Linked DNA regions of Macaca mulatta. The protein of the gene in region 3 purifies or fractionates together with the protein of the main gene of each other region. This does not show direct contact. Links are inferred from orthologs where the notes say so. Each region holds a gene or a part of one and is shown on either strand. Other genes may lie near its edges.

Evidence for each region.
Region 1: the proteins of CD44 (region 3) and ERBB2 purify together in Homo sapiens (affinity purification with western blotting; 3 studies listed by BioGRID and IntAct, with this or other methods). This does not show direct contact. The link is inferred for Macaca mulatta from reciprocal best matches to the Homo sapiens genes CD44 and ERBB2.
Region 2: the proteins of CD44 (region 3) and FGFR1 purify together in Homo sapiens (affinity purification with mass spectrometry; 3 studies listed by BioGRID and IntAct, counting the BioPlex papers as one, with this or other methods). This does not show direct contact. The link is inferred for Macaca mulatta from reciprocal best matches to the Homo sapiens genes CD44 and FGFR1.

Annotation. Positions count from the first base shown.
Region 1 is NC_133421.1:64,076,004-64,085,997, forward strand, and holds the end of ERBB2 (receptor tyrosine-protein kinase erbB-2), read left to right. Parts: intron 1-1,771; coding exon 1,772-1,910; intron 1,911-1,990; coding exon 1,991-2,113; intron 2,114-2,367; coding exon 2,368-2,466; intron 2,467-3,329; coding exon 3,330-3,515; intron 3,516-3,661; coding exon 3,662-3,817; intron 3,818-3,932; coding exon 3,933-4,008; intron 4,009-4,284; coding exon 4,285-4,431; coding exon of another isoform or gene 4,432-4,474; intron 4,475-5,076; coding exon of another isoform or gene 5,077-5,144; coding exon 5,145-5,242; exon of another isoform or gene 5,243-5,272; intron 5,273-5,382; exon of another isoform or gene 5,383-5,414; coding exon 5,415-5,603; intron 5,604-5,889; coding exon 5,890-6,142; intron 6,143-6,283; coding exon 6,284-6,639; 3' UTR 6,640-7,163; downstream 7,164-9,994. Other genes in the region: MIEN1 (migration and invasion enhancer 1), read right to left, coding at 8,146-8,351, 8,769-8,866, 8,980-9,068. UniProt on the Homo sapiens protein: Protein tyrosine kinase that is part of several cell surface receptor complexes, but that apparently needs a coreceptor for ligand binding. Essential component of a neuregulin-receptor complex, although neuregulins do not interact with it alone.
Region 2 is NC_133413.1:40,408,953-40,420,026, reverse strand, and holds the start of FGFR1 (fibroblast growth factor receptor 1 precursor), read left to right. Parts: upstream 1-5,997; 5' UTR 5,998-6,617; exon of another isoform or gene 6,618-7,414; intron 7,415-7,899; exon of another isoform or gene 7,900-8,025; intron 8,026-11,074. UniProt on the Homo sapiens protein: Tyrosine-protein kinase that acts as a cell-surface receptor for fibroblast growth factors and plays an essential role in the regulation of embryonic development, cell proliferation, differentiation and migration.
Region 3 is NC_133419.1:30,081,612-30,092,017, reverse strand, and holds part of CD44 (CD44 antigen), read left to right. Parts: intron 1-994; coding exon 995-1,120; intron 1,121-3,947; coding exon 3,948-4,061; intron 4,062-4,530; coding exon 4,531-4,650; intron 4,651-7,334; coding exon 7,335-7,463; intron 7,464-9,175; coding exon 9,176-9,307; intron 9,308-10,406. UniProt on the Homo sapiens protein: Cell-surface receptor that plays a role in cell-cell interactions, cell adhesion and migration, helping them to sense and respond to changes in the tissue microenvironment.

The DNA.
Region 1 (9,994 bases), on a different chromosome or scaffold from region 3:
CCAAAGTGCTGGGATTACAGGCATGAGCCACACCTGGCCAAGCCAAGTCTTAAAAGATGACCCTGTGGAGAAATGGTGGTCCAGGCTGAAGGGACAGCCTATGCAAACACCGGGAGGTGTGGAAAATCATTCAGTAAGAACTGTACCTTGAATACCCATACAGCCATTCTGTTTTTCACTTTTTTTTTTTTTTTTTTTTTTTTTTTTTTTTTTTGAGATGTTTCCCTGTTGTTGCCCAGGCTGGAATACAATGGCACAATCTTGGCTCACCGCAACCTCCACCTCCCAGGTTCAAGTGATTCTCCTCCTCAGCCTCCAGAGTAGCTGGGATTACAGGCATGCACCACCATGCCTGGCTAATTTTGTATTTTTAGTGGAGATGGAGTTTCTCCATGTTAGTCAGACTGGTCTCGAACTCTCGACCTCAGGTGATCCGCCCACCTCAACCTCAAGCCACTGTGCCCAGCCCTACTTTCAATATTCAATAAATTACATAGCCAGGCACAGTAGCTCACACCTGTAATCCCAGCACTTTAGGAGGCCAAGGTGGGAGGATCCTTTGAGGTTAGAAGCTCGAGACCGGCCTGGGCAACACAGTGAGACCCCATTTCTACAAAAAAATAAAAAAACTAGCCAAATGTGGTGTTGTGTGTCTGTAGTCCCAGCTACTTGGGCAGCTGAGGTGGAAGGATTGCTTGAGCCCGGAGGTCAAGGCTGCAGTGGGCCATGATCCCACCACTGCACTCAGCCTGGGCAACACAGGAAGGCCCTGTCTCAAAATTAAATAAATAAATAAATAACACAAACTATTTAACAGTTTATTATAAAATAGGCTTTGTGTCAGATGATTCTGCCCAACTGTAAGCTGCTGGCAGTGTAAATGTTCTGAGCACGTGTGAGCCAGGCTAGGTGTCTTTTTTGTCTTTTTTTTTTTTTTTTCCTTTTTGTGGAGAACGGGGTCTCGCTATATTACCCAGGCAGGTCTCAAACTCCTGGGCTCAAGTTATCCTCCCGCCTCTGCCTCCCTGAGAGCTGGGATTACAGGCGTGAGCCACCGCACCCGGCCAGGCTAGGTGTCTTAAATGCATTTTCAGTTTCAACTTACAATTGGTTTATCAGGATGTGGCCCCATGGTGTTGAGGGACATGTGTATTAACAGTCTCCTTAGTGATTTTTTTTTTTTGAGATGGAGTCTCTTACTGTTGCCCAGGCTGTAGTGCAGTGGCGCAATCTCGGCTCACTGCAACCTCCGTCTCCTGGGTTCAAGTGATTCTCCTGCCTCAGTCTCCCAAGCAGCTGGGATTACAGGCACTCACACCACGCCCAGCTCATTTTTTTGTGTGTATTTTTAGTAGAGACGGGATTTCACTATGTTGGCCAGGCCGGTCTCGAACTCCTGACCTTGTGATCCACCCGCCTCAGCCTCCCAAAGTGCTGGGATTCCAGGCGTGAGCCACTGTGCCCAGCATCCTTAGTGATTTTTACACCATAAAGTGTTGGAGCTCTAAGGCAGAGCCAAGGCTAGAGAACCAAGTATAGAGAATCTGGAGATGTGGAGAGGGCTCTGATTGCCTACAAGGAGTTTGGACTTTATTGTGGAGGCAGTGGGGAGCCAAGGCAGGTTTTGAGTAGGAGAGGGTCCAAGCCTGTGGGTCACCCTTCCGACTTCCCTTTCCGAATGCCAAACACCTTCTTCATGTCCCCCGTGGGCCCCCTTTGTCCCTCCTACCCCAAACTAGCCCTCAATCCCTGACCCTGGCTCCGCCCCCAGCCCTCTGACGTCCATCATCTCTGCTGTGGTGGGCATTCTGCTGGTCGTGGTCTTGGGGGTGGTCTTTGGAATCCTCATCAAGCGACGGCAGCAGAAGATCCGGAAGTACACGATGCGGAGGCTGCTGCAGGAAACGGAGGTAAGGCGGGGTGAAGGCCTGCCAGCCCGCGTGGGGTCTCCACTGGCTCCCGGCACTGACCCACCACCCCCTCACCCCAGCTGGTGGAGCCACTGACACCGAGTGGAGCGATGCCCAACCAGGCGCAGATGCGGATCCTGAAAGAGACGGAGCTGAGGAAGGTGAAGGTGCTTGGATCTGGAGCTTTTGGCACAGTCTACAAGGTCAGGGCCAGGTCCTGGGGTGGGCGGCCCCAGAAGGTGGGGGCGGTGCCTGGAGGGGTGTGGTCGGCAGTTCCGATGGGAGGGGCAAGAGCCGGAGGCAGTATTTGGGGGAGGGCAGTTACAGCGGAGCAGAAGGGAACCGGAGCAAGCCCCAGGGTGGGGAAGGATGTTTGGAGCACAAGTAATGATCTCCTGGAAGGCAGGTAGGATCCAGCCCACGCTCTTCTCACTCATATCCTCTTCTTTCTGCCCAGGGCATCTGGATCCCTGATGGGGAGAATGTGAAAATTCCAGTGGCCATCAAAGTGTTGAGGGAAAACACATCCCCCAAAGCCAACAAAGAAATCTTAGATGTAAGCCCCTCTACCCTCTTCTGCTGACAGGAAGGACCCCATGGCTGCAGGTCTGGGCTCTGGTCTCTTCATTGGGGTTTGGGGAGATATGACTCCCGCAAACCTAGACTATTTTTTTGGAGACGGAGCCTTGCTCTGTCACCCAGGCTGGAGTGCAGTGGCGTGATCTCAGCTCACTGCAACCTCCACCTCCTGGGCTCAAGCGATTTTCATGCCTTAGGCTCCTGAGTAGCTGGAATTACAAGCACCTGCCTGGTTTTTTTTTGTTTTTTTTTTTTTTGAGATAGAGTCTCGCTCTGTCACCCAGGCTGGAGTGAAATGGCGTGGTCTTGGCTCGGCCTCCCAGGTTAAAGCGATTCTCCTCCTTCAGTCTCCTGAGTAACTGAGATTATAGGTGTGAGCCATCACGCCCGGCTAATTTTTGTATTTTTAGTAGAGATGGGGTTTCACCATGTTGGCCAAGCTGGTCTCAAACTCCTGACCTCGTGATCCGCCTGCCTCGGCCTCCCAAAGTGCTGGGATTACAGGCGTGAGCCACCGTGCCCGGCCTAATTTTTGTATTTTTAGTAGAGACGGGGTTTCACCATGTTGGCCAGGCTGGTACTTTGGGCATTCACAGGCCGTGAGCCGCGGCTGTGGTTTGTGATGGTCGGGAGGCTGTGTGGTGGTTGCGAGGCTGTGTGGTGTTTGGGGGTGTGTGGTGTTTGGGGGTGTGTGGTGGTTGGGAGGCTGTGTGATGGTTGGGAGGCTGTGTGGTGTTTGGGGGTGTGTGGTGGTTGGGAGGCTGTGTGATGGTTGGGAGGCTGTGTGGTGTTTGGGGGTGTGAGGTCTCCCATACCCTCTCAGTGTACCCTTGTCCCCAGGAAGCATACGTGATGGCTGGTGTGGGCTCCCCATATGTCTCCCGCCTCCTGGGCATCTGCCTGACATCCACGGTGCAGCTGGTGACACAGCTTATGCCCTATGGCTGCCTCTTAGACCATGTCCGAGAAAACCGCGGACGCCTGGGCTCCCAGGACCTGCTGAACTGGTGTATGCAGATTGCCAAGGTATGCACTTAGGGCACCTGGGCTCTTTGCGGGTCCCTTTGGAGCAAGCCCCTATGTCCACAAGGGGCTAGGATGGGGACTCTTCCTGGGCATATGACCAGGGCCAGGCCCTCCCAGAAGGTTTACCTGGGTGCTTCCCATTCCAGGGGATGAGCTACCTGGAGGATGTGCGGCTCGTACACAGGGACTTGGCTGCTCGGAACGTGCTGGTCAAGAGTCCCAACCATGTCAAAATTACAGACTTTGGGCTGGCTCGGCTGCTGGACATTGACGAGACAGAGTACCATGCAGATGGGGGCAAGGTTAGGTGAAGGAGCAGAGGAAGTCGGGTGGAGTGGGGTCTGGCCCCTGGGAGAACTCTGAGTGGCCACCTCCCCACCACACACAGTTGGAGGACTTCCTCTTCTGCCCTCCCAGGTGCCCATCAAGTGGATGGCGCTGGAGTCCATTCTCCGACGGCGGTTCACCCACCAGAGTGATGTGTGGAGTTATGGTGTGTGGTGGGGAGTGTTGGGAGGGGTGGGTGAGGAGTCATGGCTGGAGGGAGGATGAGAGCTGGGATGGGGAGAATTATGGGGCCACCTCAGCATGTGGAGGGAGGGAAGGGGCTGCCTGTGCCCCACCTTGCAGGGTCTGTGCACTTCCCAGGATTAGGGAAAGACTGGGTAGATTCTGTCTCCTGGCATCACATCTCCCCCCTGCTGCCATGATGCCAGACTCCTGGGCAGAACCTCTGGCCCTCCCACTCCTGACCCTGTCTCTGCCTTAGGTGTGACTGTGTGGGAGCTGATGACTTTTGGGGCCAAACCTTACGATGGGATCCCAGCCCGGGAGATCCCTGACCTGCTGGAAAAGGGGGAGCGGCTGCCCCAGCCCCCCATCTGCACCATTGATGTCTACATGATCATGGTCAAATGTGCGTGGCTGAGCTGTGCGGGCTGCCTGGAGGAGGGTGGGAGGTCCTGGGTCGAGAAGCCCACAAAGGGCATGAAAGGGGACCAGGATGTATGTAGACCCAGGAACCCTGGTATATTAGGAGCCTCAAAACCTTCTCATATCCCTTTTACAGTCAAAGTCCAAAGCCACTCTTGAGGAACAACTAGAGAACCTTATGTACAATATTAAGCTGGGCACAGTGGCTCATGCCTGTAATCCCAGTACTTTGGGAGGCTGAGGTGGGAAGATCCCTTGAAGCCAGGAGTTCAAGACCAGACTGGGCAACACAGTGAGACCCTATCTCTACAAAAAATAAAAAAATTCGCTGGGTGTGGTGGTGTGTGCCTGTAGTCCCAGCTACTCGGGAGAGGCTGAGGCAGGAAGATCACTTGAGCCCAGCTGAAGGTGGCAGTAAGCTATGATTGCACCACTGAAATCCAGCCTGGGCGACAGAGTGAAACCTCATCTCAAAAAAACAAAAAAGCAAACAAAAAGAAAAAAAAATTAAAAGGGAAACTAGTAGAGATGCCCGAAGGTTCTGGCTGAAGCCCCCAGAGTCTGGTACTACTTCTCTACCACCAAGGGCTTTGGGCTGTCCCTTGGGACTGTCTAGACCAGACTGCAGCGGGAGTGGGAGGGGAGGCAGCAGGCACACAGGGCCGGGGCTAGATGCTGGCCTCCCTCCTGCCCCAGGTTGGATGATTGACTCTGAATGTCGGCCGAGATTCCGGGAGTTGGTGTCGGAATTCTCCCGCATGGCCAGGGACCCCCAGCGCTTTGTGGTCATCCAGGTACTGGGCCTCTGTGCCCCATCCCTGCCTGTGGCTAAGAGCACCCTCCTGCAGAGGGTGGGAAGGAGAGATGAGTCCGGTGTGTCAGGCCCCTCACCTGCTATGAGCCTTCATGGAAGGCTGCATGCTGAGCTGGGGAGGGGCCACCATCCCACCTCTCCTTCCTCCGCAGAATGAGGACTTGGGCCCAGCCAGTCCCTTGGACAGCACCTTCTACCGCTCACTGCTGGAGGACGATGACATGGGGGACCTGGTGGATGCTGAGGAGTATCTGGTACCCCAGCAGGGCTTCTTCTGTCCAGACCCTGCCCCGGGCACTGGGGGCATGGTCCACCACAGGCACCGCAGCTCATCTACCAGGGTCAGTGCCTTCGGTCACACTGTGTGGCTGCTTACCTCCTCCATCCCTGGTGGACTAGGGTCCCTTTCTCTGATGTTCCCTCAACTGTCACCTCTCAAGGAGACCCCATTATCCCTACAAAAAATTCTTACTGCCTTCCAACCTCTGTGACCCCATTCTCTCCACGGTGATTGTGTCGTACCCCAAAGGTGACCTGTTTTTCTCCTGTGACCCTGTCACTTCCCATGGAGTCCCCATCCCAGATCCATTAAGTGACTCCCATCATGACTTACTTTCTTGTCCCCAGAGTGGCGGTGGGGACCTGACGCTAGGGCTGGAGCCCTCTGAAGAGGAGGCCCCCAGGTCTCCACGGGCACCCTCCGAAGGGACTGGCTCTGATGTATTTGATGGTGACCTAGGAATGGGGGCAGCCAAGGGGCTGCAAAGCCTCCCCGCACATGACCCCAGCCCTCTACAGCGGTACAGTGAGGACCCCACGGTACCCCTGCCCTCTGAGACTGACGGCTACGTTGCCCCCCTGACCTGCAGTCCCCAGCCCGGTATGGAGTCCAGTCTAAGCGGAGAGACTGATGGGCGGGGTAGGGGGGACCCTCAGCCCAGGGTCCACTGTGGGGGCAGAGGGAGTGGCAGCGACACCGGGGTTCCTTCCCCTAATAGGTCATCTTCTCTTGGCCTTTCAGAATATGTGAACCAGCCAGATGTTCGGCCACAGCCCCCTTCGCCCCAAGAGGGCCCTCTGTCTCCTGCCCGACCTACTGGTGCCACTCTGGAAAGGCCCAAGACTCTCTCCCCAGGGAAGAATGGGGTTGTCAAAGACGTTTTTGCCTTTGGGGGTGCTGTGGAGAACCCCGAGTACTTGGCACCCCGGGGAGGAGCTGCCCCTCAGCCCCACCTTCCTCCTGCCTTCAGCCCAGCCTTCGACAACCTCTATTACTGGGACCAGGACCCATCAGAGCGGGGGGCTCCACCTAGCACCTTCAAAGGGACACCTACGGCAGAGAACCCAGAGTACCTGGGTCTGGACATGCCAGTGTGAACCAGAAGGCCAAGTCCGCAGAAGCCCCGATGTGTCCTCAGGGAGCAGGGAAGGCCTGACTTCCACTGGCATCAAGAGGCGGGCGGGCCCTCCGACCACTTCCAGAGGAATCTGCCATGCCCGGAACCTGTCCTAAGGAAACTTCCTGCTTGAGTTCCCAGATGGCTGGAAGGGGTCCAGCCTAGTTGGAAGAGGAACAGCACTGGGGAGTCTTGGTGGATTCTGGGGCCCTGCCCAATGAGACTCTAGGGTCCAGTGGATGCCACAGCCCAGCCTGGCCCTTTCCTTCCAGATCCTGCATACTGAAAGCCTTAGGGAAGCTGGCCTGAGAGGGGAAGTGGCCCTAAGGGAGTGTCTAAGAACAAGAGCGACCCATTCAGAGATTGTCCCTGAGACCTAGTACTACCCCCCATGAGGAAGGAGCAGCAATGGTGTCAGTATCCAGGCCTTGTACAGAGTGCTTTTCTGTTTAGTTTTTACTTTGTTTTGTTTTTTAAAGATGAAATAAAGACCCAGGGGGAGAATGGGTGTTGTATGGGGAGGCAGATGTGGGGGGTCCTTCTCCACACCCACTTTCTCCATTTGCAAATATATTTTGGAGAACAGTTAGGCACCGGCCTATGTCTGGGGGTAGCTCTGCACCATCCCTTCCTGCTCACCTTACACTCAACTCCTCTTTTCCTGGAGGGAGTGACCAGGAATCTTCAGAAAGCTTGGATGAGGAGCCTGACATCCAGTTCTCTAGCTTCAGGGTTGGGGGGGATCGGGAAGCTGGATTCGGATCTGAGAGCCCTTTAACAACCAGATCATTCTTTCTTAGAACGAATTCCTAAGGCCACTCACCAGAATGGGGTTATTTCCTCCTTGTGAGTCAGGAGAGTGGCGGTTGAGTGGGCGAAAGACGAGGCAGGGTCTACTGTGGGACTCATTTTCCTTGCCTTGGCTATGCCAGAGGAGCTCACTGACCTAAGGAGTAGCTGTCCAGAAAGCCCACCCAAGCCAGCACAGCCACCCTGGCGGTACAAAGGCTGGGCCGGCCGGACTTCTGTGCCCCCCGCATTCCCAGATTGGACATATAAAAACACACACTAGTTAGCATTAGTGTTTGTAGTGCCACTTTACTGCCAATGGCTGACATTGCCCTGGGTTGGGGAAAATAAATAAAATCTACTGTGGCATCAGACAGGTATTACCGAGGTGAAGAGTGGACCAGGCTTTTGTGGGCACTTATCCTGGGAAGGGGGTATAAGGTGGCTGAGGAAGTGTCCGTGGAGAGTGTCTCTCTCCTGCCCCCAAGGCCATGGAATCTTATTCCTTCCTCGTACCCAAAAGGGCAAAGTGGAGGCCAGGGTCTCTTTGCTAAGGAGCTAAGTAAGGGAAAGAGGCAGGGGGAGCTCCCAGCAGGACCAAAGGGAGACCAAGGCTTGGACCCCAGAACAGAGCAGGAACCCAGAATCCTGTGCAGTCACAGGATGATGCAGGGAGGACGGCTGTTGGTGATCTTTTCTAGGGGTTCTCCTTTACTGGCTCTTCGGATGGCCTCAATGAGCTAGAGGACAGAGATGTGGAATGACAGGATGATGCACTGTTGGGGTAGGATGACCCAGAGGTCCTCCCAACACTGCAAATACTCACATCTTTCTCATAGGGAAAGCCCCCATTCTCCAGCTTGGAGAACACCAGCTGTCCATTTATCTCTATCTCAAAGGCACCTGGTAAGAAATCAACAGATAAATAAATGGTACACTGAGAACATAGGCAGAAATCAGGAGTTCCTTCAAAGGGGTCCCCCACCACTCCCACTGGAGACCCATTTGTAGCTCCTTAAGCCATTCCCCAACCCTGGGTCAACTCCAGGGAACCTGAGGGAGGCCCCGCCTGTGTGCCCCTGGCAACAATGAAAGACTCCCTCCCCTCCAACCCTACACGATTGCAGTCTAATAGGTTTTTCCCCCGCAGGCCTCTGTGAACCCCCTGACATATGGAAGGGAACTCATGTTGGCTGGACATTTTACCATGTGTCAGGCACTGCAGGCACTTTACATAAAGCAGCCAATGTCAGAACTAGAAAGCGGGAGAGCTGGGATTTAGAGTACAGACTGACTCAGCAGGTGTTCCATGAGCCTCACCTGTGCCCCCCAAGCGCGACTCGATCTCGATGCCCGGATACTGCTCCTTCACAGCACTGGCCAGCTCCAGGTAGGTCGCCTCGAAGCCGCAGGGTTCACTGGGGAGAAGAAATGGGGCTGGGCTGGGGACTCGGGGGTGGGGCCTCCCGTGGACCCACCTCCGTCCGGCCCACGGGACCAGGGTAGGGGTCCTCCAGCCGGGACCGCTCACCAGTACTCCACCATGATGCGGACCCCACTCCCCGGCTCCACCTCCTCGGGAGGGGGCGCTACGGACGTCTGCCCCGGCTCCCCGCTCATAGCTGCCTGCTCCGCTCGGGCCCCTGCTTCCGGGTGTGACGCGCTCAGCGGGCACGTGACGGGGCGGGGCCTCTGGAGCGTGGCGGGGCCGAGCGTGGCGTTGGGGCGGGGCCGAGCGTGGCGTCCGGGCGCCCCCTGTAGGCCTCCGCCATTGCTACGTTTTGACCTCGTACGGCAGCTCCGGAGCTCGCGCCCCGGGCAGAGTCTGGGAGAACCGGTACAGACCCTCCTTCCCCGGCCCGGTCTCCCGGAATGCCGGGCTTCCCCACTCCCGATGTCCGCCGGACTTCACGGCTTCATTTACTCTAATGGACTATCTTAGACTGCAGAGCGCTTTTCAGTTTACAAAAGAAAGAGAAAGCGGTGGGGCAACCATCCTGGAGATGGGAGTGGGTGTGGCTGATGTATGAAATAGTTGACATTTTCTCGCTCACATGCTGATGGCATTTGTTGTTTTTTTTCACTCTTGTTGCCCAGGCTGGAGTGCAATGGCGCGATCTCGGCTCACTGCAACCTCCGCCTCCGGGGTTCAAACGATTCTTCTGCCTCAGCCTCCCAAGTAGTTGGGACTACAGGCGCGTGCCACCGCACCCGGCTAATTTTGTGTTCTTAGTAGAGACAGGGTTTCACCATGTTAGTCAGGCTGGTCTCGAACTCTTGACCTCAGGTGATCCACCCTCCTCGGCCTGCTAAAGTGCTGGAATTACAGACATGAGTCACCGCGCCCGGCCCAGTTTTTTGTTCGTTTGTTTGTTTTAGGAGAGACAGGGTTTCACCATGTTGGCCAGGCTGGTCTCGAACTCCTGACCTCAAATGATCTGCCCGCCTTGGCCTCCCAAAGTGCTGGGATTACAGGCGTGAGGCACCACGCCCTGCGCTGATGCCATTTGGAACCGCCCTATAGTTACATACCCAAGTGTTTCTGA
Region 2 (11,074 bases), on a different chromosome or scaffold from region 3:
TAGTGTTCTGAAGGGAGTCACAATTCTAGACCAGCGACCATAACTGGAAGGATTCGCTGAGGTTTTATAGGCCCCCTTAGTTTCCCCATATGTGTTCTTGTCGTTTTTCTCTTATTTCACAGTAAAACCTATAACAAAAAGGGCTGTTTATCTTGGGGTACATCAAGGAAGAGGGAGATGAGGGTGAAAAATATATCCTTTTCTGCGGCTGGTGTTGGGGAACAAAGAATCTGGGGTAGAAGTGGTGGTAGAGATGGTAAATACATAGTAAAGCCGCAAAGAAGGCTGGGTGCAGTGGCTCACACCTGCAATCCCTGCACTTTGGGAGGCTGAGGCGAGTAAATGGCTTGAGCCCAGGAGTTCAACACCAGCCCGGGCAACATAAGGAGACTACCACCTCCACAAAAAAATTCAAAAACCAGCTAGGCATGGTGGTGCATGCCCGCAGTCCCAGCTACTTGGGAGGCTGAAGTGGGAGGATTGCTTGAGCCCAGGAGGTCGAGGCTGCAGTAAATCAAGATCGTGCCACTGCTCTCCAGCCTGGGGAACAGAGTGAGGAACCCTATCTCAAAAAAAACAAAAAACAAAAAAACAAAAAACAAGCCACAAAGATATGCAGCCTCCAGAAGGTGTCTTCCATCAAAGGGAAGTTCCTGGGCTAAAAAAATAATAATAATAACGACAATAATGACTACCATTTATTGAGCATTTACAATGTGCTGGGCGCTTTGCCAAGTGCATTACATGCATTTTCTCATTTAATCCTTTCAACAGTCCTGGGAAGAACAGTTACCATTGTCATCTTCATTTCACCATTGAGCAAATGCAGCGTAGCTAACTAGCTTGCCTAAGATCACACAGCTAGCAATAAGTGGCAGAATCAGGACCCATGCTCAAAACTGTTTGACCCCAGAGACTAAGTTCATCCCTTCAGGGCAAAATAATTCAATGCTTCAATGACTACCAACTGTCTACCTCCCACCCCCACACCTCAACACATACTCTCCAGGCTTGCTTTCCTCAGCTATCCCAGATGAGTTTGTGGATTTTCATGTTGTCATCTTTCAAGATTCAGGCATCGCTTCCCCTGAGTCATCTTCCTTCCTGATCTCTCCTCCTGCAGCCCCCTGCAGATGCCCCTGGGGGGCACTACATGTCATGTTTGGTCTCCCCCACAAGACAAGTGAGGTTCCCCAGGCTGTGCCCTCATCTCTCTCATCTTTGGATCCACTGTGCCCGGCACAGCGCCTGACACACAAGAAGTGCTCCCTGGCACCCCAAGGCTCCGTGAATAGATGTGGCATTCAGGCCAGACAGCTGAGCTGCCATGCAGCTCGTTCCCTTTCTCACTCCAAATTGGCAGAAGAGAGTGAATGTTATTTACAAAAACACCAAGCCAAACAAGACCCTCCCTTCCCTGACACACTGAAGCTGCTCTGGGAACAGACAGGGGTCACCAAATGGTGGCCAGATGGTGACTGCTACTCCATAACTCCAGGGGCCTGGGGCAAAAGGCTTGGCTGCCCACCTGCTCCCAGGACCTGTGAACGATCCACTTTGTAGGGAAAAACCCAGACAGTTCCCTCCTTCCAAATCCCCTTCTGCAACCAGCTCTCGGAGTGGAGACTCTGCCAGCTCTCACCACATCCTGGGGACTCCTGAAGCCTGGGCTGGAAGTTCTGCAACCTTGCCCCATGTCAATGGCACTTACTTTACCTGACTTCTTCCTTAACAGAGAGGTGTTAATTCTGCAGTATTGACCCAGGGTAGTGGGGTGATCACCCCTGGTAGGCACAGCTGAGCCCTAAAATAACTGAACCCAGACAGAGCAGGGGAGCCCTGGGGCAGAAGGAATGTGGGGAGAGGGGAAGAGGAGCTCCCTTCTACCAGGGAAAACTCTGAGGACACAAGTAGCTGGAGGAACAGGGAAGGGATTTCCTACAGTGTTCCCAAACAAAGAGAGCTGGCGGGGCTTTGGGGAGAGCTCCGTTTCCCTTCGTTTCATTCAGCAGTGGTCTCCTCCTCCCACAGATGTGGGAGGCAACAGGCCCCCAACTGGTTATCAGGCCCTCCAGCGTGAGGGCCTTTGTCTCCCCTTAGACATCTAGCTGGCAGGGCGAAGGGCCGACAAATCCTCCCTGACCCTCCCAGCTCTTTGTTATCTCAGAGGGAAGATTACATTTCTGTATGGGGAGGCAAGGTGCCAGGAGGCCTCGGGCAGGACAGAGACAGGCAGAGCTGCTGTCTGACCCCCATTGCCTGGATCAGCTCAGGGCTGCCCTAGGGACACTCCCTCCACTGGCCTGGGGCCCTTCCAGAAATGGGAGGGCTGCGTTTCAGAAAGGGGGAGGGGTACAGGAGTGGGACAGAAGGGGAGGTGGGCTGGAAGGATAAAAGCAGCCAACTCTCAATTATTCAGAAGCATGTCTGCAGTGCGTGGACAGCCCATGCCTTCGCTGAGTTTCTCACCTTCTCTGTTCAGCTGCCATCAGCTCTTTCCCTGAGAAGTGGAGAAGGGAACCCTGGCAAGTTGGCCACTTGCTTTCATTTTGGCTTCTTGATGAATCTATAGAGGATTTTTCAGCAGCAGACCCATGTCCCTCAACACCAAACAAGCATTTAGATCATTCTCTTTCTGTTTAAATCAAGAACACATTCTTTAGCCTTTTCTTCGAGGTTCAAGATACTCCTACAATGGTTCTAAACCATAAGAAAAAGGGGCTTGATTTAAAACCCCTTGTTCTGGGCCAGGCTCATGCCTGTAATCCAAGCACTTTGGGAGGCCAAGGTGGGCAGATTACCTGAGGTCAGGAGTTTGAGACCAACCTGGCCAACATGGTGAAACCCTGTCTCTACTAAAAATACAAAAATCAGCTGGGCATGGTGGCAGGCGTCTGTAGTCCCAGCTACTCGGGAGGCTGAGGCAGGAGAGTTGCTTGAGCCCAGGAGGCGGAGGTGAGCCGAGTGAGCTGAGATCATGCCATTGTACTCCAGCCTGGATGAAAAGAGCAAGACTCCATCTCAGAAACAAAAACAAAAACCTTGTTTGAGAAGAATTACGGAGAGGAAGGGCGATACACACTCCTTTAGGAACGAAGTAGAAAAATAGTAGCTGGGTGTTAACATTAAATGCTGGATTTTTTTCATGGCTTGTTTTCCCAATCATATTTCCTCAAATTGTATTTCCTCCTCTGGTAAGCCAGGTGGGTTATGCTTAGCAAGTCCATCAACCACAAATATACATGGAAAACCTCCTGAGTGGAATTGGTCAGACGCCTTAGATGAGATCCTTGCCCTAAAGCAGTTTAGAAGCCAGTTAGAAAGCAGAGTAAGGAAAACTATTAACAAAGCTATGGTTAGTATCAACTCAGTGGATAGTCAGAAAGTGAGCAGGGGATCCAGCAACTGACAAAGCTGGGATGGGCAGGGAAGGCCTCTTGGGGGTAGGGTGTGAGTTTGGCCTTACAAGCCTGTGATGAGTATTAATTAAAATGCAGGAGGCCTAATGGGTGGGCAGCTTATTTAGGAGTATAAACCAAACCTGACCAGGAGCTGAAGGGTTAAATGGTGGCTTGTAGGGGAAAACTCTATAAACAGTGGCTGAAGTTCATTTATTCAACAAAGATATGAGTTCTTGTTTCTCTTTTTTTTTTTTTGAGACGGAGTCTCGCTCTGCCGCCCAGGCTGGAGTGCAGTGGCCGGATCTCAGCTCACTGCAAGCTCCGACTCCCGGGTTCACGCCATTCTCCTGCCTCAGCCTCCTGAGTAGCTGGGACTACAGGCGCCCGCCACCGCGCCCGGCTAGTTTTTTGTATTTTTTAGTAGAGACGGGGTTTCACCGTGTTAGCCAGGATGGTCTCGATCTCCTGACCTCGTGATCCGCCCATCTCGGCCTCCCAAAGTGCTGGGATTACAGGCTTGAGCCACCGCGCCCGGCTCTCATTTTTTGTTTTATATTATTTTGTTTTGAGACAGGGTCTTACTCTGTCACCCAGGCTGGAGTGTAGTGGCTGATTATAGCTCACTGCAGCCTCAAACTCCTAGGCTCAAGCCATCCTCCTTCTTCAGCCTCCACCTCCAGCTAATTTTTAAAAATATTTTGTAGAGACAAGGGCTCACTTTGTTTCCCAGTCTGGTCTTGAACTTCTGGCTTCAAGTGATCCTCCTGCTTTGGCCACCCCAGGTGCTGGGATTACAGGCGGGAGCTGTAATTTAGTTGTTTATTTATTCATTTGTTCAACAAATACTTATTGAATATTTGCTCTTTGGCCAGTCAAGGAATTTTATGAGTGTCTACTATGTGAATAACACCGTGTTGGCCACTAGTCTGTCACCTACTGGTGGATTAGAAAAATAACGCGAGGACCGTTTTCTTTTTTCTTTTTTTTGAGACAGAGTCTTCTCTGTTGCCAGGCTGGGGTACAGTGGCACGATCTCGGCTCACTGCAACCTCCGCCTCCCGGGTTCAAGCGATTCCCCTGCCTCAGCCTCCCCAGTAGCTGGGATTACAGGCGAGCGCCACCATGCCTGGCTAATTTCTTTGTATTTTAGTAGAGGCGGGGTTTCACCTTGTTGGCAAGGATAGTCTTGATCTCCTGACCTCGTGATCCACCTGCCTCAGCTTCCCAAAGTGCTGCAATTACAGGTGTGAGCCACCGCCCCCCTCCCCCAACTCTTTTCTTAAATTAGCCAGGGAGGCGTGGGTGGGGTGGGTGAGGAGTTGGGTGGGGGTAACTCATTCAGTATTCAAACTTCTACAAGTTTTGGGGATGAGGTGAACAGGCCCTGCCACTAACTTACATAGTGACTTCTATTTGTGTAGTATTTTTGGTCCACGGAGAGCTATCATTTTATTTGATTCTTACGATCATCTTGTGAAGGAGTATCAACAGATACTGCTGTTTTGATTTTATCAGATACAAGATTTGTCGTACATCAAACTTCACAAATGATGGACAGAATGGAGGAATCCTTCAGACCTAGTGCTGCCTACTTCCCACCCCAACGGTGGCCTCAGCCTGGGCTTTCACATCACAGGCCCCACGGAGACTTGGAAAAAATACAGGCTTTTGGCTCCTTCTTGGGACAGCCTGATTCCTCATGTCTGAGCAGGCCCATGAATTTGTATTTTTCAGACGTTCCCTGGAGGACCCGTGTCCATCTGGATTAGGAAACCACTACATTATACCACCCCGCGGCAAGACTCAGGGGGAAGAATTTAGCCACTTTCCTGAGTTCCACAGTACTGGAGGGTGTTCTGAGTGGGCTGTGATTAATTTCCAAACCAACCACACCTCTCCCCTCAACTCCCACTTACTCTTTGCTTCCTAGACGTTCACTTCAGGCTGGAGACTTCTGAAGACCAACAACATTGCTGTAGAATTTACAGGGTCCAGTTCCCGGTGGAGCACAAAACCTAAATTATGTGGCTGGGGAAAGCGGAGATCCAATGGAAGGGTGTGAGGAGGGGCTGACCTTCTCATAATAAAACCAGCTTGTATTTACTAGGTGTTAACTATGCGCCAGGCCCTCGTTGACCTCTCGACTCTATACGAAAAAGCACTATTATCCCCCTTTCACAGATGGGAAAACCGAGATTTAGAACGCGAAAATCATTCCCCAAGGTGCACAGACTCCAAAGTCCACGCTACCAGGTACAATCTCAAGGCTGCGGCGTCTCTTCACCTGTCCCCCACACCCCCCCAAACTGCAGCTATGTCTAGGGCCTGACATTCCGGCGCCCTCTGGGACGCGCTCAGATGCAGGGGCGCAAGCGCCAAAGGAGACCAGGCTGCAGGAAGAGAAGGGCAGAGCGCCGGACAGCTCGGCCCGCTCGGCCGGCTCCCCCTCCTCTGGGGCCGCGGCTGGAGAACTACAAGGCCCAGCAGGCAGCGGCAGGGGGCGGAGGCGGAGGAGGGACCAGCGCCGGTGGGAGTGAGAGGGCGAGCCCTCGCGCCTCGCCGGCGCACAGCGCTCGGAGCGCTCCTTCGGCCACAGGCGCGGCGTCCTCGGCGGCGGGCGGCAGTGAGCGGGAGCCGGGACGCTGGTGCAGCCGTAGCGCGCGGAGGAACCCGGGCTGTGCCGGCAGCAGGGCCACGTCCGGACGGGACCGAGACTCCGCGTAGCGCATTGCGGCGACCTCGCCTTCCCCGGCCGCGAGCGCGCAGCTGCTCGAAAAGCCGCGGAACCCGAGGACTTTCTCCCGTCCGAGCTCGGGGCGCCCCACAGGGCGCACGGTACCCGTGCTGCAGTCGGGCACGCCGCGGCGCCGGGGCCTCCGCGGAACGATGGAGCCCGGTCTGCAAGGAGCGTGAGACGCCGCCGCCGCGGTCTGGAAAAGAGGGGCACAAGGTCTGGAGACCCCGGGCGGCGGACGGGAGCCCTCCCCCCGCCCCGCCTCCGGGGCATCAGCTCCGGCTCCATTGTTCCCGCCCGGGCTGGAGGCGCCGAGCACCGAGCGCCGCCGGGAGTCGAGCGCCGGCCGCGGAGCTCTCGCGACCCCGCCAGGACCCGAAAAGAGCCCGGGGGCGGCGGGCCGGAGCCGGGGACGCGGGCACACGCCCGCTCGCGCAAGCCACGGCGGACTTTCCCGAGGCGGAACCTCCACGCCGAGCGAGGTAAGAGTCGCGGCGCCCCCGGATCCGGGGCTGGCTTGGCGTCCCGAGCGGCCCCCGGCGCCGGAGCCTCCCGGCTGCGCGCTTTGCCCGCCGCAGCCCAGCCGGGACCGGCGCCTCCCTCCGCTCGCCGCCCGCCCCCTCCACCTCCCGGCTCCCTCCCGGGCGATCCGCGCCCCCCTTGGGTCTCTCCTCCCTTCCCTCCGCCCGCGTCTCCTTCTGCGCCCCCTCCCTACGCTCGTCCCGCCGCTCTTCCCGCTGCCCAACTTTTCCGCCAACTCGCGCTCGGGAGCTGGCGAGGCGGCGGCGGCTCCTCGGTGAGTCCTGGGAAGGACAGGCCCGGGGCGAAAGCGGCGAGGCCCGCGGTTTCCTGGACTGGGGAGGAGGGCGGGAGTGGGCGGCGAGGTGGGGTGCGTTGTGTGTGTGTTGTGTGTGTGTTGCATTCCACTCCATCTCTTTTTGGTCCCCTTTTGGGGATTCACCCCCAATTCAGCAGGTAGCTTTGGGCTCAACGCTAAAAATCCAGGACATTCCTCAGTCCTTTTCCATCCCCGCTAAACCTGGGGTCCGGGTTGTGGGCGAATGGAGTAGGGGATGAACTGCAGAGGACGTGGAGGGCTAGGTTAGCTTCTCTTGGAATAGGCTTTAAGGAGGTGTCGTCACCAAATGGCTGAATCTGCTTGAGCTGAGAGCGAAAAACGACTCCGCTTTCCAGAAGGGGTGATCTTATGACTTGGACGGTCTCTGAGAGGGTCGGAAGTTTGGGGAACGGGAGGACGACCCACAGTCGTTAAGCCGAGGTATGGGACGGGGGCGGGAGGGCCGTTCCGTCCCAATCTCGTTCCTGGAGGTGGGGGAAGGGATGAGGTTTTTGTCCGGTGCGGTTCACTCGGCAGCGATGCGTAGGCTTCTCTGGCCCAGACCCCTCTGCACCCCGCTTCCCCTCCCGTTATGTTTAGGGTTGGGAGAAAAGGGAGGCTACGACCCATGTTTGCAGAGGAATTTGTGGACCTTGTAGATGGGGTTCATATAGAACACACGCCCCCTATGAAGCAGCCAGACACTTTTTTGGTGGTGGTGGGGCGGGGGGTGTGAAGCGTGTTTCTTGTTCTGGTCCCAGAAGCTATCAACCCGTTTGAAAAACATTACCACGATGTCTTTCTCCCCCAGCCCTCCCCCACCCCCATTTTCCAGATGTAACAGCCGCATCTGGTTCCGTTTCACCCCACACGGGTACACCGCAGCCGCGTTATTAACTTCCCTCTTCCTCCCCTCCCCCTCCCCCAAATTGAAACTCGGATTCTTCAACTCGTCTTGACCACCTCCCTCCTTAACATTTCTGGAGACATGGAGATGCGGCGTTGAGAAAAGAAAGTTCCCTTGGATCCCGAGTTATCGAAGATCTCACTAAGTTAGTTGTTCGCCGCCGCTAGTGGGTGGCGGCGGTCGGGGTGCTTTCTGGATTGCGCAGAAAAGAGGCATCTTGGGAGATGGGTCCAAGGTTTTAGGGGGTGGCATTCGCGAACGGTTCATCCGCTAGACTAGGGGAGGCTCTTTGGCTGTGCGTCTGGCCAGAACTGGCCTTGACGATGGAAGTTTCTGGAACCAAAGCGTTGCTTTCTCTCCCTTGTGTTATAGCTGGAGCTGCGAGAGCGCCTGCCCTGCCCGGAGCCCGCGGTCCCCTCTCGGCCGCCCCTCGGTGGCGTCACGCGCCCCTCCCGGAGCGAGCCCGGTGCGCTGGGCCGGGGGCGTGGGCGACTGCTGCCAGAGGCGCTCCCTGTGTGTTTTTAAGGACTGATTTGGGACGCATCCCCCGGAAACTAAAGTGGGGCGTTTTACCATTTAAGTAACGGCTACAGGTTTGAAAGCGGGGGGTTGGATTGTCCAGTTGTGTTTGGTAATAGTCTTTGAGGCAGGAAAGCGCCTTGTGGTCCAAAGTTGCGGGAGGGTGGAGAGAGTCAGTCTCTCTCACCCTCTTCTTTCCAGCCTCTCTCAGATTGAAAACACTTCTCTGGTTTCCTTCTTTGGGCGGTAGTTTTGGAGGCTGTAATGAAATCGCACTTTCTCTAGACGTGGTAATTAAGGTGACTGTTTCCTCCGCAGATGTGCCCTACCCTTTGCACCTCCGGACCAGGGCTTTTTTTGGAATACTATCTAGCCTTGAGACTGTTTAGCAGAAAGTGGCCATTTTCCTCCCTTGGCCCGGGCTCCCGGTTTCCTCCCTGAGGCTTGTTTAAAAGCGAAGTAGCAGGGCCCCGTGGGACGCGCCTTGGTCTGGTTAATCACCCCCATCCCCGGGTCATCCACCTTCCTCTCAGTGACCGAGGTTCAGCAGCCTCTGCTATTGCCGTCCCGTCTGTGCCCAGGGCCTGCCTCCCTAATGACTTGTTTACATATCCTACCCCCAGTGGGTTAGGAGAAGCTCCGGGGCTGCCCCGACCCTCCGAGTGCAGGGTGTTTGGGGACCGGGAGGCTGCTGGGGCCTGACTCCAGCTGGGAGGGTTATGAACTGCATCAGTGACGAGCTCCTTGAAATATCTGTTGCATTTACTCTTAGTCATAGCTGAGTGTCAGCTTTTTAATGAGGTTCATCCAGATTGAGAGCCACTTGGACTTCACTGCTTGCTTTTCCAAACATGCCTGCAGAAATGCTCATTTTCCAGGTATTTTTCCCAGTACAGATTCGGGCCAGAGTGGGCACCGCTTGAACAATCTTAGGGTGCTTCTTTTCCTTGACCTCTGGCCATGGAGGATGTTAGAAAGTTCCATTAGGTGGCCCTTTGATAGCCAGGGAAGCAAAGGCTCAGGAAGAAATGGCGAAGTGTCCCCCACTCCCTAGGGGCAGAGGATTAGATACGTCGGGTGCATCCCTCAGGCTGGGCTAGCTTTATTCCTGGTGGACTCCAGAGGGCAAGAAAATTGAATTGAACACTGGGTAGGCAGACTCAAGCCTTAGAGACCAAGGAAAATCCATGGGTTTTTCTTTTAGTGGTGTGCTCTTTGTTTTCAGTATTGACCTGAAACAAGACTCCTAAAATGGGAGATTTGCTGGTGTGAACTTGGGGGTTTAGCAGCGGGCTTCTCCAAAGTTTTTTTTCTTGCCTCCGTTTCTAAAGTGTCTTTTGTCAAAATGGCTGTTAGTTACAGAACGTCCTAGCAAAGTTTGAGCCTGTTGTTGCTGGAGGAAAAGGCATTAGAATTGATTCAAATGTCTTATTCTGAAAGGGCCTCACATCACTTGATGAATTTAATTTCCTCCTGGGAAATTTGTGTCTTGCATTTGTCTTCCCCAGAGCTTTGTAAAAGGCCTGAAAGCACCAGGGACTGGTAGGAGTCCAGATGCAGAGCTTTAGAGAAGATTCTGGTGTTCCCAGAGAGGATGAAATGTCAGACTTGGGCTAGGATATTTGTTTTTCCCCCTAAGGTTGCATCTACTTTAAACAGAAATTGCCTCCTCACCACCATTTCTCTCTCCCCTGCAATGAAAGAAACCATGTTTAGGGCCCTCTCTCCCATTTAATAGCACTCACCTGGGTGAACTATCCCAAGAATTTGGTGGGGTTCCACTCATAGTACATCCTGTCTTCAAGAGCAAGGTTTTCTAGATTATGTGCAGCAGTTGTGTTCGCCAGGCTGGTCTTGAACTCCTGACCTCAAGCGATCTGCTGGCTTCGGCCTCCCAAAATGCTGGGATTACAGGTGTGAGCCACCGTGCCTGGCCACTTATTGCTAATTTTTTATATGTCTTTTACTTCCAAGGACAGGTAGACTTTTTTTTTTTTTTAACAGAGACACAAAAAATAAGCATTTCTCTTGGACCAACTAAAATTTTGCAAGCTGAGCTAAGTAACTTTCTCCATGTTTATTAAGTACTTGCCCCCTGCCCTCTCAACATGTGAGTAGAGAATGCTCACTTTGGGGAAGAAATAAGTCTTACTCCCATCTGAAGGGAATAATGTTTTGGTATTACTTCCTTAATTCTGAAGAACCAAGTTGTCCAGAAATTTTCTCGGTACCCTTTGGACTACAGTTTGGCTGGTTAACAAGGGATACTAGCTAATTGCTTTTCTCTGATATTCTGAGCCTCTTTTTCTGGAGGAGTATCTGTATCAGTTGCTTTTCATCAGCTCTTTTTTTTCCTTCATTCACTTACTCATCCAGTTAACGAACATGTTGGCATCTCCTGTGTACATACTAGGTGCAGAGAGTGTTAGCAAAGGTTAGGGAGGCACAGACCCTGCTCTGAAGGAGCCTGCAGTTTCATGGGGAGAGAAGAGAATGAAGAACATAAATAATAATCATATCATGTGGCCTAAGCACCATGTGAGAGGGGCTAGTAATGTGGTTTGCGAATTTGGAGGAATAAAATCCTCCAGCTAGAAGAGGCCCAAGAAAGTCTTATGGAAGAGACAGCTTCTTAAGGTGGGGTTCAGAGAAAAGGGAAGGCCTGGCCTGTTGCA
Region 3 (10,406 bases):
TATGGATTAGTATAGCCCAGGAGAAGGTTAATATAGAGACTATAAAACGGGAATAAGCTTTTTTTAATGACGTAGCAAAATTGTGACTCTGAAAGATTATTCATGTATATTCTAAAATTACCACAGTCATAAAAAGTCTTGGACTTTCATGAGGAAATAGCATAGCTAGATCTGAAAAAATATAGAAAATCTTCATCAATGGAACTATTCTTGGGGTAGACACTAATCATACGAAAAGGCAAATGCTCATTCCCTAAGATAGCCTGAATCTCATTTAAAATGTAGAAAACCCCGTTTTAGTAAAAAGACATTGTCTACAGTAACCACTGAGAAGAAGATGAAGTTTTTCATCTCCTTTTTTTATTCAAAAAGAAAAAGAATTTCTCAATATCTCAACCACAGTTCACTTTAGTTAACCCCTTTGATTGCCTAATAATGCCAAAAATGATTTCTCTGTTAATTGGCTCCACATTTTTGCTCTATGCTGAAGTAGTGTTGGGAACTGCAGTGTAGCTTCCATCTCTGAAGACAAAAAATGAATTAGCAAATTGTGAACACAATGAAATGACTGACACAGGTGTAGATTCCAAATTTTTCTGAAGGAGTCTTGACCAAAAAAATAAATAAATAAATAAATAAAGGCACGTATGAAACCTTTCCATTCTGTTCTTGACGGCTTGGCTTTAATGGCATATGCTTAATGAGTTAATAATAAACACATCTGAAAGCGTGGGGGAGTTTTCATTGGCCTTTGAAGACCTATTTTAGCTTTCTTAAGGAGAATATTCAGTTTTAAAGATCACAGTCACTTGTTTTGAGATTTATGTATTAGCTTCGGAGACCAGAACATAAGAATTTGGGGTATGCAAGTCAACTCCCTCACTTTCTTTTAAAAATTCGGGAAATCCATTATACCTTCTGTGCCTGATTTTCTTCCTTTGCAAGTGGGTTGCCTGGCATCCAGCTCAGCCACTAATGCAAGTCACCACAACAGGTACGTCTTCAAATACCATCTCAGCAGGCTGGGAGCCAAATGAAGAAAATGAAGATGAAAGAGACAGACACCTCAGTTTTTCTGGATCAGGCATTGATGATGATGAAGATTTTATCTCCAGCACCAGTAAGAATAATCAATTACAGTACAGCCATTTATGCAAGGCTTATTGATTAATCTGAGTGATACCTAATTGTATCTCTCTTGAGAAGTAGTTAATGTGAAAAATAGGTGAACCTGTGATCATACCTTAGTTATATCTTGATGAGATTATGGAAGAAGAAATAGAATGTTTTGAGAAGTGGGGAAAATATCTCATAAAATTTCTAATGTCTCAGGTTCTTCCTGTTTTATTTATCAATGAAGTCTACTGCTACAGATTGTCTTTGAATGATCAGGCTTTGTCAGAGGATGACATTAAAACAGTCCAAAAAATATTCATTGTGTACTTACTGTGCTAGGTGCTGGAAACACAAAGATGAAAAAAGCCAGAGCCTTTGCCTTTCAGAATCTCATGGTCTGTTGGAGCAATAGACTTGAAGAATGTGATTAGGAGGGTATTAATTAAAATTTGTAGGCCAGGCGCGGTGGCTCACGCCTGTAATACCAAAACTCTGGGAGGCCGAGGCGGGCAGATCATGAGGTCAGGAAATCGAGACCATCCTGGCTAACACAGTGAAACCCCGTCTCTACTAAGAAATACAAAAAATTAGCCCGGCGTAGTGGCAGGCGCCTGTAGTCCCAGCTACTTGGGAGGCTGAGGCAGGAGAATGGCGTGAATCAGGAAGGAGATAGCGCCACTGCATTCCAGCACTCTAGCCTGGGCAACAGAGCGAGACTCCATCTCAAAAAAAAAAAAAAAAAAAAAGTTGTAGAAGATCCTAAATTGAAGGCCCTTAAGGCTTAAATGATGGGAGCTGGAACTCAAGAATTATCTTAATCAAAACCCGACTAAGGTCAAAGGAACAAATCCAGAGTTTTAACAAATGAGCTGGACACCAAAGACCTTGAAGGGAAGGGCAAATGTCAGGTTAGCTTTAACAAGACATTACCACTTATTAAAAGCAAATAATGAAACCACTATTGGTACATAATAGTATCCAAATTTTTGACAATTATAAAACTTTTTGAGAACAAAGAGATGGAAATTGAGCTTTAAAGATGTCCTTAAAAAGTTAAAAACATGCAAAGGTTGGTCTAATAGTCTGCCAGATTACTGAGTTTTCCACACATACCTGTAATGACTTAAGATTTTGCTGAATAGAGCTGAGAATCCTGAACCTGACTCCATCACAGTTTTGCTTTTCCTTAGAAAAAAGGCTTTTGGGGTGCTATGTGAGCTCCCCCAATTCACTGAAGTTCTATCCATTCCATTAAAACCTGACAATTTAATCCTCAAACGGATAGCACACAGAGAAGAAAGGGTCCAGAAAAAAAAAAATAGCTTAGGCCTTGAAGGCATCTGAATATATAACATTGATATAACAAATACTCAAAAGGAACTAGAATTTTCTATCTAAACTTTTAAGTGATTTTTTTAGACCCAGCACCCCTCCAGAGCTTAATCTATGGAATAAGAAAATTATTTTTGGTAACTTCAGAACAAAAACCAAATAATCAAAAACACTGGAGTTTTACATTACACTGTCTCCTGTGTTCAGGATGTGGCCCAGCTTTGCAGGTAGGTCCATTAGTAAAGACGTGGTCTTGATATTGAAGAAATTAAATTCCCTTGGGGAGTAACCCAAAGATATCTACCTGCAAATGAATTGTATGGTCAGGCTTCAGGGAAAAACTTCCCATGGTGTTTTTTTGTTGTTGTTGTTGTTGTTGTTGTTTTTAATTTTTAAAATCTCTATGGCATATTTTCCAATTTCAGTTTACTTTTCTGCTTAGCACCTATGGACATAATTCAACATGATGCCCTCTTTCTTCTGGAGGGGTGCGATAACTGCTTGATAATAAGCACCTTTTCATGCTTGTTGAGAATGTGGTTAATGATTCTAAACTCGATTTTCATAACTTGTAAAATAGAGCTGACAGTATTATAGTTCTGAAAACAGTTTTGTGTTATTTGGGTTTCAAAATAAAATTTGAAACAATTAGGATGGATTTGCAAATAACCTTTCCACAAAACACATTGATTCAGATTTTGTCATGATCTTTCTGTTAGGTGCATCTCCCATTCCAGCCCTAACAGATTGGGTGACGATATCAGGGTGCTGGTGGATGTATGCCTCTTTCTTTCCATTGTGCTTCTGTGATGGTGGCTGGTTACCTGTGGTGTCTTATTTTCTTTCATTGGCTATGAATGGCTTGCTCGTGACATATTTTGTATTTGATGAGAATACCATAGTGTTTGATAAATATTCAGAAATGGACAGCTAAAACATATGGCTATTCTAGGTAGGTAATATTTTTCGGAATCATCTATAGGAAAGCTCTGGCTGCTCAGACATTTCTTTCCCCACTGAAATTACTAACAACATAAAGTGATTATCATGGTATAACTTTCAGTTATCTGCCTCTTCACCCTGAGGATCTACAAATAGCACACAGTGACTAAGTCCCTGGGCTTTCAAGTGCAGAGGGATACTACAGACTGCATGGATGGGCAAAATGGTGCCTTTGGTTATCCTCGGTGAAGGGCTGGTGTTTTCAAAGCTGTCCTTCCTACTGCTGCAGCTTCTTTGACTGTTTTATCTGGAAGATCTCATGTTCTGAACCCTAAGGTATTCTATGACAGAATGCAAAGGACACTGAGATGCTTACCAATATGGCTGAATTAAGCTGAAGGCATCCTCCGCTTTCCCTCCATTTCCATGCCGCCATCTATACAACCTGGTATAGATGATTCATTGCATAGTCTACAGAAACAAGACTATATGCGAGACAAGTGGCGAAGGCTCAAGAAATAACATTTTTCTAATTGCTTCAATCATCGTTATCACAGTTTCAACCACACCACGGGTTTTTGACCACACAAAACAGAACAAGGACTGGACCCAGTGGAACCCAAGCCATTCAAATCCGGAAGTGCTACTTCAGACAACCGCAAGGATAACTGGTAATGGGTTATGCATATTTAATGAAAGGTTTTTTTTCCCCTCAAAGCCTATGATGCTGCAAAGGTCAATCATCGGGACACAGTGGGAAATTTAGCTAGTATCTCATCAAGAAATTCTTAGTGGACTTTCATGAGGATACTTAATTCCATTTAGGAGTCATTTATCAATTATACCATGTGGGTATATTTTTATGTTGCTTCATTATAAAAATGAATATGTTTGAAGGATTTATGGTGCTGCCTTTGACAAACTGATCATAGTGGAATAATAAGGGAACATGAAGAAATTCCAAGCCCATTGATTTTCTCTTGAGACCAATTAGGTAAAGTCACTCAAAATTTTTGAGAGTGGATGCTCAGAGATAATACTTTGGCATAGAATTGTTAAATAGCATGCACTTTAATGGAAGAACAGAATCATTAAAGCTTGATTGATAACAAGTCACAGTGTATTTAACCATCATCACAGCAGATGTAGACAGAAATGGCACCACTGCTCATGAAGGAAACTGGCACCCGGAAGCACATCCTCCCCTCATTCACCATGAGCATCATGAGGAAGAAGAGACCCCACATTCTACAAGCACAAGTAAGCAAGATGGCGGTCGGCAGTTCTGGGTTAGATGAGTTAGTGAAGACATTCCAGCAATAGGGAAGATTTTGTTTAGAAATTGGCCACATCTTCTATTTCCACTTAGTAATTTATTTTATTCTCAGAGCCTGAAAATCTGCCAAACTTGCACACAAATTTTAAAAATTGGAAGGAAAATGATAACACTTCAGGTTGCCCAAAGACCAAAATGTTTTAAGAAGTAGATCTAGATACAATTTTTGTGTTAAAAGTTCCTAGAGGTTCCATTTGGGTAACTTGTGTGTGTTTATGGAAATGTGTGGCAAAGTGTGTTCTTTTGGTGCTTAGTAGTGAAATCTGGAAAGAAAGCTTGTCAAGTGAATTGATCTTTGGAATCCTTATTTTCTATGAAGATCTTTGATGAATATAGTTTCTTTTTTGCATTCTGTCCTTGACTGTTCTATAGTCCCTTGTACTCTTTAGAACAAAGTTGGTAGCTCGTATGGTCTGCATTTGAATTCTATCACTGCTTCTTTTTCTGTTTTTAAGCCCAAGGTAACTTGGGGAAGGCTTTGATGCTCTTACTGTTATTTCTACTATTATGAAAACTTGTCAGTTTTTCTAAAACAATCTCAAGTTGCAGCACTGGACTGTGAGAATAGGGGACCCCCTCACTCCCCAAACATAAGAAGTAAGTGCTTTTCTTCTTTTATCTGTCCCACTGAGATATGTCTATCTTATTTGGAATAAGAGTATTTATTTTGGAAAACAGCTTTTTAGCATTTTTAAAATGATGATTTGACTGTCATTCTCACAGCCCTAAATACACCTAATGCGGAAATGTGAGCTATAGCCACTTAAAAACCAAAGGGCTTTGGGAATCTATAGCTTGAGGTGTGTCTTCAGACAACAAAAGAAAAGTTTCAGGTACCAGCTAGGATAGAGGTTAGACGTTGTACTAAATATATCCAGCAGACCTTACATTCCATTACAAACCCCAGTAGATCTGATGTATGCATAAGGCTTACGGACTAAGTTAACAAAGAAGTCTAGGAAAAGAAAATACAGAGGAAGCATAAATCTCTTTGGAATAGGATTTTGTTCCAGTCCCTTAGAGCCCTAACTGTATATCTTAGAAATTGTTTTAGACAGTTTGCACTTAAAGACCAGAAAGCTACTTTAGAGACTTGGAAATAATGAGCCTATTGTCAAAAGGTGGTGCTTGGGGTGCATTAGGACTAGAGGGTAGGTGAAAATTCAGACAGAATGTAACTTGACAAAGAGAAGACAGTGAAAACTGTAACAATTCTCTTATGAATATTTGCGAAACTCAAAGGGATCTGATTGGTGACCTCTGGTCTTTATCAAATTAACATCACAACTTCTAGAAGAAAGTCAACCTTCATCTTTTACAATAGAAATCATATGTTTTGTGAACTCATTCCTATTTAGGCTGAAAACAATAAAGAGTTATGGGTACTTTAAAAACTCATTAAAGTAGTGATAGAAGGAGTATAGAGTCCTTCTATGCAGTCACACACATACACTTCCTTATTTCTTTTATTTAAACTTTGAGTAACATGGCAGTCTATGTTTGGGTCAATATTCCTTTTTATGTAATTACATTCAGTGGTTTTTCTAACTTCATTATTGGTTGGGAATTAGTGATTTAGTCAGTGGTAGGTAAAACTTAAGATTCTGGCTTTTTTCCCCTCCCCCTGGATAGCCAGTTAACCCAATAATGGCTTGGCCAATGTAAGGGTAAAATGAGGACTGTTCTATTTTTTAAATGTCATTGCCGTCACCAAATCACACATATCATTTTCTAAGATAATGAAATACAACCATTTTACAAGTTACAAAAAAAATACTCTGGCTTGGCAAGTTAATAGGCTCTCATTTTCTTGATAAAACAAAATTGCTTTAAGTTGCTATAGTTAAAAATGTTGGTGGCTTTCTGACTTTTCCTGAAGGCACCTTGATGGAATTTTATTCTGTTGATTTTGTCCTTTTTAAAATAATGGTTGAAATTTTAAGCCTGTCACACACTATTATTTATATAATGCCTCAAACTGGCTTGGATAGTTTTTGTCAACTGAATTAATTTTGTTAAAAAGTGATTTTAGCAATTTTAGGCGCCATATGAACATTGCCACATAATGTGTTAGTGAAATAGCATTCAAGCCATCCCAACACCTTTCCTGCTGGGCAAATCCACTGCTGGTGCATTTCCAGTGTGTGCAATTATGGGTTACATGACCACCATTTGAGACGGTCTCCTAATGCGCTGATCTTGTCAGTTGTTATACAGTATTTTCCTTTCATCAGAATGACTGGAGCGAAGAGGTTATTCTTTGAATGGTTTTCTAAGACAGGGTATGTGACGCCATACACTACAGTAAAATAAAAATAATGATAACTCATAGAACTCTGAGAATTCATCAGCTATGGTCTGCTTAGTCCTATGGTTTTGAACAAATCAAAACCTCTTTGGACCACAATGTTCCCATCTGAAAAATTAAATGTTTGGATCATTTTATTTCTAATATCCCTTTCAGAATATCAGTGGCCTGTTTCCTTGCTGCTTTTCTTTTCTACCTTCTGTTCCCATGTGTATCTGCCCTTAAAGTAGAAAGATACGTTGACAGCTATTGGCAAGGAAAATAGAAAATTATGTCTCCCAACTGATATTCTTCTCACAGTCCAGGCAATTCCTAGTAGTACAACTGAAGAAACAGCTACCCAGAAGGAACAGTGGTTTGGCAACAGATGGCATGAGGGGTATCTCCAAACACCCAGAGAAGACTCCCATTCGACAACAGGGACAGCTGGTAATGGGTGGTTTAACAAGTAAATTTGGATGGCAACTTCCTTTTGGGTTAAATGGTAGACATTGAGGACACTGAACAAAAGGACATTGGAGGAATTGTCACAAGATGTTAGGTTACTTAATAAATTATGCTGCAGTTAACACAGAGCCAAACCTTAAAGGCTCATAACAAGTCACCTGAACAGGAATGGATACAAGCCAGTTACGAATAAGAACAGGAAACACAGAGAACATGCCCTTGAACATGTCTCTTTCACACCGAGTTCTGGGCATTATCTAGTGAGATTGTAGCGGAGGCCCTGATAAAATATCCCCTTTTGTCGTACAAAGGAATCTACTCTAGAATATGGGTCCAGACTTTACAATGTGATTCTGCAAAGTCTGACTTGTGAGAAAGCATTTTGCTAGAACTCCAGTGTTTGAAGAAATAGAGCCAGACATTATGTGAAAAATGACACCTGTCTGATGTCATTTGGCCTTTTGGCCATGCCTGTTTGGTAATTTGTCCTTGAGTATAAACAAGCCATCTTCTCTATTCTTGAACTGTGAGATTGTGGAAATTGGAATCAAGTCTTATCATCATCTCTAAGTGATACCAGATGACTTGGCTCTGCAAGCTCCCATGCAGGATATTTTGTCTGTGTGACATAAGTATTGAAATGTGTCCTGCCTTATCAAGAATGTGAATTCCATATTCTCACTTGGTATCAGTGAGAAATATTCCCATATTTCTATTTGCAATATAGAAGATAATACGTCATGTACTTCTGGGGCATGGCAAGTTCTGAATGAATTCCTGGCAGAGCAATGGATTCTGTGACTGTCTATGTGGTGTGGTTGTTGCTAAGAGGATGCTGTTGCAATCTTTTCTACCTATACTTCCTCATTGGCTCAGAATGAAGCAAGGCATGTGCTGCTTTCTTATATGTCATTTATGCATATTCTCACTTGGTATCAGTGAGAAATATTCCCATATTTCTATTTACAATATAGAAGATAATGCGTCATGTACTTCTGGGGCATGGCAAGGTCTGAATGAATTCCTGGCAGAGCAATGGATTCTGTGACTGTCTATGTGGTGTGGTTGTTGCTAAGAGGATGCTGTTGCAATCTTTTCTACCTATACTTCTTCATTGGCTCAGAATGAAGCAAGGCATGTGCTGCTTTCTTATATGTCATTTATGCCATAAATCCCGTTGTCAGGTAATGCTTCTAACGGATTCCATTCATGCTTTTGAGATAAATGGCACTGACTTTCATATTGATCACATGGAAAGCTGTTACCTGATTCCTTTCCTGAGATCACTTCCAGCCTAATGTGCATTCAGCTGGAATATGGTTGTCTCAGAATAACATAATGCACTTGGGCTTTTACACTTCTGCCATTAGGGTACGGTGGCAGCATGGCACAGGTCAAGAACTACTCCTTCATCTTCCTATGATGTCTGTAACTCACCCTCTCTGCACTGCAGGAGTCGTTAATGCTTTTGTGTCCTCCAGTTCACATGCTGATTGCTAAGAAGAAAATGAGCATGAGTGAACCCAAACCTGCTGAAACATTTTGCGTTTATGCAACTTCCTTGCCCTCTATACAAGGAAGATGGTTTCATTGTCTTGTCTAGAGAATAAAGTCTTTTTAAACAATAAAATCAGTGTATTCCTGACCAAGCGTCCATTAACACTTTGACAATTGCTCCAACTGCATGGTCTCAGCAGCCTCAGCTCTTACCAGCCATCCAATGCAAGGAAGGACAACACCAAGCCCAGAGGACAGTTCCTGGACTGATTTCTTTGACTCAATCTCACATCCCATGGGACGAGGTCATCAAGCAGGAAGAAGGATGGGTAATAGCCTCTGAGATTTTTATATATTCTGTTTTTTGAAATCCACTGACTGCTGACTATTTTTCTAGAAATATGCCCTAGGTTTAGACCAAACTACTTTCCTGAAGGACTTGAGATTCTTCAAAAATTAGTTTTCTTGGTAGGAGTGATACACATATTCACCTGAATATGAAATTCCGAGCTGAAAGTAAAGAATTTAGCAGGAGAGTTGGCAAAAGAAAACATTTATTGTCAAAATATATCTGTGTGAGGCAGTAAGTAATAGATGTGAAATGAATGTTGCCAACAATAAACGCTAAAGAAATTCTGAGAACCCCTCCCCGCCCACCACAGCATCACAGAAAGGTGAATTGGATCTGGTTTATGAAAAATTAAAAAACCCTGGATAGTCAGAGAAAGGAAGTGGGTGGTGGGGGGTGGGGGGCAGTTTTCCTAAGAAGGAGACTCATTTAAGGAGAAATGTGAAGGAAGAAAAGCCAAGGAATGAATATGTCAAGTGAGTAGATCCATTTTTCACAAAGGAAGATGTGTTTGAATGGCTAGGGAGGGGCCATTATGTTGAGTGACTGAAGTACCACAGGCAGACCCAGCACACATGAGTTTGCACATGGCAGCTGGAGCTCTGAGGAGCTGGAGCTCTGAGATACGGGGGAAAACCAAGCCAGGCAAAGATCTTCAGAATCAATATTAAGTCTATGTACTGATGAAGAGAAAGAGATTCCATTAAATTAATGAACATGTCAAGGACAATACAATTGGCTTCAACTACACAATGGTATGATAACTCTTGAAGGACTCTACTTCTAAGAGGGAAGATGAACAAGAGTCTAGATCCCATCATCAAGTGGGACTTTTTCTGGGAGAATGTCCATTTGTAGTTTTGATTCAGGTTAGCACTTGCTCTTGTTTGAAATCTGGGATAGTAGAGTCACCACATTTTTGTCCTACAAAGATCTTGAATATTTTAGTGTTGAATATTTAGTGTTGAATCTTGAATATTTAGTGTTGAAAGCTGCAGTGCACACGTAGGTACCCAGTATTCTGGTGCTTCGCTGGAACTGATTAAATCTCTCCAGAGGCAGTGGTGTGGATAGACTTT